Regions from separate parts of the Mus musculus genome. Here region 2 is reported to be linked to region 1. The links are microRNA targets in miRTarBase. Many come from high-throughput screens and were not tested one by one. Region 1 holds a microRNA gene; the other region holds the end of a gene's coding sequence.
Evidence for each region. Region 1 holds the annotated microRNA mmu-miR-19b-3p (UGUGCAAAUCCAUGCAAAACUGA, at 1,971-1,993, opposite strand). A microRNA usually pairs through its seed, bases 2 to 8, with sites in the 3' UTR of a target mRNA and lowers its output. Matches are read on the target gene's strand: a 7mer-m8 pairs with bases 2 to 8, a 7mer-A1 pairs with bases 2 to 7 and ends in A, and an 8mer does both.

Region 2: miRTarBase lists Hecw2 as a target of mmu-miR-19b-3p. Seed matches in the 3' UTR shown: 7mer-m8 at 1,640-1,646.

What each region holds. Positions count from the first base shown.
Region 1 is chrX:52,740,021-52,743,174 of GRCm38, forward strand. It overlaps Mir19b-2 (microRNA 19b-2), which reads right to left and starts at 2,046; the gene lies at 1,963-2,046. It overlaps Mir363 (microRNA 363), which reads right to left and starts at 1,747; the gene lies at 1,673-1,747. It overlaps Mir92-2 (microRNA 92-2), which reads right to left and starts at 1,908; the gene lies at 1,818-1,908. Mir20b (microRNA 20b) reads right to left here and starts at 2,172; the gene lies at 2,093-2,172. It also overlaps Mir18b, Mir106a and Kis2.
Region 2 is chr1:53,810,618-53,813,703 of GRCm38, forward strand. Hecw2 (HECT, C2 and WW domain containing E3 ubiquitin protein ligase 2) reads right to left here. Exons shown (of 29, transcript NM_001001883.3): 29 at 1-2,716. The coding sequence ends at 2,605. Among named protein-coding and RNA genes, the nearest start is that of Stk17b, 27 kb to the left of the region's middle.

The sequences.
Region 1 (3,154 bases):
ATAGTTCTTTGGGCGAGCACCATCAGCACCTGAGACTGGGTTACAAAGGCAAATCCTGAGGGCTCACCTGATGACAGTCACTCTCTGGAGATGGGACTGGCAGGGTTTTCAGTAGTGATAAAACCAAAGACTCAACGCAAACTTAAATTCCAGTTATATTCAAATGTTCCTTCAAGACATACCCTATAAAATTTGTTTTCAGCTCAGTGGGGGAAGGGCACTTGCCATCGGGCCTAAGAAATCTAAGATGTATGTCCATGACCCACATGACTAGCTCCCTACAGTTGTTCTCAAATCACCACATGACACACACACTAAATAAGTAGATAGATAGATAGATAGATAGATAGATAGATAGATAGATAGATAGATAGATAAATGTATGTAAATGCTGGAAGTCTAGGAGTGGAGGGGTGCCTACCTTTAATCTCAGCATTCTAGAAGCAGAAACACACAGATCTCCGCAAGTTCAAGGCTAGCCTAGTTTACAAATTGAGTTCCAAGCTAACCAGAGCTACATACCAAGACGCTATTTTAGAAAAGCCAATAGTATTGCTAATTTAAAAAGAGAGCCATTGCCATATCCAGGGATCCATCCCATAATCAGCTTCCAAACGCTGACACCATTGCATACACTAGCAAGATTTTCCTGAAAGGACCCAGATATAGCTGTCTCTTGTGAGACTATGCTGGGGCCTAGCAAACACAGAAGTGGATGATCACAGTCAGCTATTGGATGGATCACAGGGTCCCCAATGGAGGAGCTAGAGAAAGTACCCAAGGAGCTAAAGGGATCTGCAACCCTATAGGTGGAACAACAATATGAACTAACCAGTACCCCGGAGCTCTTGTCTCTAGCTGCATATGTATCAAAAGATGGCCTAGTCAGCCATCACTGGAAAGAGAGGCCCTTTGGACTTGCAAACTTTATATGCCCCAGTACAGGGGAACGCCAGGGCCAAAAAGGGGGAGTGGGTGGGTAGGGGAGTGGGGGTGGGTGGGTATGGGGGACTTTTGGGATAGCATTGGAAATGTAAACGAGGAAAATACCTAATAAAAAAAAAGAGAGAAAAAAAAGAGAGCCCCAGGCTGGAGAGATGGCTCAGTGGTTAAGAGCACTGACTGCTCTTCCAGCGGTACTGAGTTCAAATCCCAGCAACCACATGGTGGCTCACAACCATCTGGAATGGGGTCTGATGCCACCTTCTGGTGTCTATGGAGACAGCTACAGTGTACTTGTCATATAATAAATAAATAAATAAATAAATAAATAGAATCTTTTAAAAAAGAAAAAAGAAACCCATTTTTTTTCAGACTTATATATCAGCTTTATTTTGCAAATTTCAGGTTTGTTTACATTCAGTGCAATCAAAATGTCAGGATTTCAAATATATTTAAAAATATGTAGTTTTAAAAAATTAGACTCCAAGCTGGGCGTGGTGGCGCACGCCTTTGATCCCAGCACTTGGGAGGCAGAGGCAGGCAGATTTCTGAGTTCGAGGCCACCCTGAGTGAGTTCCAGGACAGCCAGGGCTATACAGAGAAACTCTGTCTTGAAAAACCAAAAAAAAAAAAAAAAAATCCACTCCAAATGTGTTCAAAGCAATGACTAGCTAAAGGATTTTACAATCTTACTATAGCACTGATAGACGGCTGTCCACATAGGTCCTGCGGTTTACAGATGGATACCGTGCAATTTTCCTCCTATTACACCAACCAAAATTGCATCGTGTTCCACCTGATAACAGCAAAACAGTTCATTTCATAATTACAGTCTAACATAACTTACAATACTCAGAAACTAAAAGACGATTAAAAACCCTCTTTCTTCCTCAGGCCGGGACAAGTGCAATACTTTATATCTAACACAAGTAATGCCACCAATCCCCACCTGTGGATGAATGGGCATGGATGCTGAAGATGTGCATAAAGGTGTCCATTACGATGCAGAAAGGTACACATTCCCACAATCAGTTTTGCATGGATTTGCACAGCCATATATTCACATATACGCTGAACTGCAAATCTGCAAAACTAATCGTAAGTAGCAATGTCCTTGCGCTGTAGTTGCTTCAACAAGACCTTGGTTGATCCAGGAGTACTAGAAGTGCTCACACTGCAGTAGAGTGGTATAAAAACTACCTGCACTATGAGCACTTTGGCACTACTAGGATCCGAGCTTGTTCTTCTACACAACTGTATACTACAGTCTCCGCCATCTGTTTCTCGGCGAAACACTGAAAGAGCCTTTGAAACTTGTGCCGTTCAAATCATTTCTCAAGATATGCTTTTCAAATGCAAGGTAAGAAGTAGCCTGTGCGAGAAGGGGCATTTAGGGCAGTAGATTGTAAGCTGCTTCACTAACAGCACTAGATGCACCTTAACACAAGAGACACATTACAAGGAGCAGCTCAAAAACATCCACAATCTAACTATGCAGAAACCAGGGGACTCAGCGGCCTCTGATTAAATCACCATGGTAATGTAAGAAGTGCTGGCACTGCAGTAGAACTCAAAAAGCTACCTGCACTGTTAGCACTTTGACATGGCCAAGGCATACTCCAGGAGTGTAACCTTGAAGTCTTCCACGAACTCTTCTTTGCCAGATCTGCAGACTCACCTGGATAAACACACACACACACACACAGCAAGTAAGTGAACTGTGAGTTACTATTTCTAAAACAAGTTTGCCTTCCGTTAAGAGTGCAAATGGGGTTGTGTTACTTCAAACATTAATAAGCTCAATTATTTACACAGACTTAAACATGAATAACACTGGCAATCTCAGAATGTCTGACTCTTAAGAGTAAGAGGATTTTGGACTCCCTCTCCGTCTAAGGAAATTTGAGATTCGCATCCCAGAAAATTTGCAGAGCTGTAATATCCACCATGGTTTTCTAAGAGGCAAGAGCCCAGGAAAAGATGTAAGCAAAAAAATAAATAAATAACATTAGGGTGAGTACTGACGTCTTGAGCTCATCCAGAGCTTTGGGGAGCCACTCGGAAGGTCTCTATGTTTGATTACATGAAGCATCCCTGCCCCCAGCCCATTAAGAGAAAATGATAGAAATTTCAGAGCCGCTTTAAGAAACAGTTTTACACTCTTCACATACCGCACAGATGGCCTAGAGATGTCACATTTTCATCTATTTCA
Region 2 (3,086 bases), not on the chromosome of region 1:
CAGAAAAGCATATTTATGAATATTTCTAATTGTAGGGTACAATAACAGCTAATTTATTCTGTGGATGTGTTATTTAACTTTTATAGAGATATTATTGTCTTTTTTTTGTTTTTGTTTTGCCTATGAAGAATAATGGGTTAACACAGTCTTCTAATATGCTAGCTACAATTTGATAATTCCCAATTCTGAGAACAGTGCCAACTAGGACAAGTCCTACCACTTTAAGAGTGTCTGGATACATTTAAAACTGTTATTTGAGAAGTTGGCTGCCTTAGCATCAACAGCAAACAACGTTTATTAGAAATAGTTAAAGAGGTATATTTTATTTGAAATCTCTTCTGCCTAGTAATATGGCATATGGTGGCAAAGTGTCTCAAACCAAAGGAGCACTAATGTGGCCTATAAATGTATTTTTGAAAGAAAGGCAGCTCTCTCTTAACAGGCCCCTGTGACAACTCTTAGGGAATGCTCTGACGAAGCGAAATGTGATTTTAAAAATGTATTAGCATGCTCTGTTTTCCTTATGATGAAAAAATACAAACGAGTAAAAGCAGTTTGCAAAAATTAAATATATACTGTATTCATGACAAATAAGTACAAACTAATAATTCCAGTCAAAAATTTTAGTCATTCTTTTTTTCTGGCCCAATTATGATATACAAATAAATATTCCATATATCTTTTCCAGGTTTCTGTAATTTGTTTTCTCCTAGAACATTTTCCCATATCCAGGACTTATCTTTAACACAATAGCAGAACATGAGTGTCATTGTTCTTGAGGGTCCCAACAGTAAACACAGCTTCACAAACAGGCGTGTAACTGTTCTTACAAAACACCTATGAAGACGATGTATGTAACCCGTATAAAATGTAAAGTTACCCACATCCCACAACAGGAAGCCCATGATACCTATAAAGAAATTCTCAAAGCAGTGTTCAGGTAATGCCTGTAAACCCCTCAGGCTGGCAAATTAAATGTTAAGCTAATGGTCTTACCCACCTCAATTCCACTTCACTGTACATGTGTCTGATTAGTTGTGGTCACAAGTCAAGGGACAAACAACAACACGGAACAGTCCCCAAAGCAATCGAAATGAAGGAAATCCTTTTCATCAGATTAAGGAGACCCGTCAGTGATGACATGCAGTTTCTGAGAGACCATACAAAATTTTTTCTTGATATTAATAAGAAAATTATACATCAGTGAAAATGCAGGCTTAGAAATATAGTACTGAGAGTTTCAATGTATGGTACCTTCACTGATGTGAGAAAATGGAACTCTTACTATGAAAGAGAGCTGATCTCTCCGGCATTGCTGATGGCTCCCTAACCAAGCTCAGTGTTTAATGATGCTGTACAAATAAGAAGCAGTGGGGGAAATACGAAATATCAGTAATAAATGCCATCCTGTAAAGTAGTTGATGGATGGAAGAGAGTCTAATGCATTTTAAATAAATGCATATCATACTATCACATAGAGTGAGTCTTACAAAATTATTACTTAGATGCACAGTCCTTGCAGTGGTTGACATGGCAACTGTGAAGGAAGTCTGATTTAAAAGCTACTTCTATTGTAGTCGTCAACTGATGGAGCTGCTGTTAGTCATATTGTAGTGTCCCTTCGCCTTTGGTACTTTCAGTGCAAAATATTTTGGGGATTTTTTTAAACTTTTATAAGAATAAAAGGCCCTTTAGTTCCCTTGAGCGTGCTTAAAAGGGTACATACTAACAAGATGCCCGAGTAAGCATGGAACATGAAGATGGAGAGGTGGTACATACAATATGGTAGGTAGGTCCTTATATACATCTTAAAGAACAGAAATATGATGAACCTATAAAAAATAAACAGAATTCACTGTGTACATTTTCCCGATATGCTGTGATTAATTGCTAGATATTTTAAAATTGTTTTCATGCATTATAAAGCATAAAATCGGTCATTAGTGATTCATTGAGTAAGTTTGTCTTCAGCCATAATTACACACATACCACTTGCATATACATTGTCACAGACCACCTTATCTTTAAAGTTATCGCATAATGACTTGGTTTCCTTTTTCACACTTGTCCTGTGAAGGTTGAAACCTATAGTGCACACCATGCAGGCACTCATAAGCAAGAAATAAATATTCTGCTATAACTTAGGGCTTAAACAAATGTACTTTCAGGAAATATATATTTTTTTAATGATTTCATTTCACTTGCGCTAATTTAGAGATTGGGTCAGTGCTGCCAGTTTGGCTTGAAGTGTTATGTATGGGAGAGTTTCAAGATTCTCCTGAGTCCCTAAAAGTCACCATGGAGTTTATCATGTGCAGGTTCTTCTTTTATCTTGGAACATGGGACCAAATGGGAAAGGTTTGGCAGTCAAGAACTGTTGACTGAAAGACTGTTGGGTTGTTCCATGGGCACCAAGCTCACCCCAATCCTTCCAAAAGAACTCACAGCCAGTCCCCAAACACAGGAGCATGTGTTCCCGGAAAGCAGCACTCAGTTTGTTATAATGGAAGCCAAGGCTTGAGGCTACCAATGCTGTGTCCACTTTTCGGGAGGCCAGCTTCTAGAACCGCCTGGCCATGAAGAGCTGAGCATCATGCTTCCAGGTCACTCAAGTCCAAAGGTACTGGTCTCTTCAACTGCTGTCAAGAGTTTTTCATAAAGCATGGAAAAGGAAGGGTATGGAGGCAGATCCAGGCGGTTAAAACAAGTGTGGGCTCTGCAAATAGAAAAAGCACATCATTTAGCAGAGGGGCTGAGCAAACAAAGTCCATGCTCCTGTGCGCGTGCATGCGTGCGTGCGTGCGTGCGTGCATGCTTGAGTGTGCGCATGCTCGCGCACATGTGTGCATGTACTAAGAGTGTGTCTCTTTCATATTCAAATTTATTTGTTACCATTTTCACGGCTACTTGGGAAAAAGTGAAGATATTTCAACTTAGTAGCCCCTGTGACCCAGTCCCCAGTTAACTGCGATTGGTAAATAAAAATGCCAACAGCCAACAGCTGGCCAGAAGAGACAGAGGTGGGATTGAAGTTTTGAGGGCTTGGCTCAGAAAGGACCATGAGGAGGGTAGGAGGAAGGAAGAAG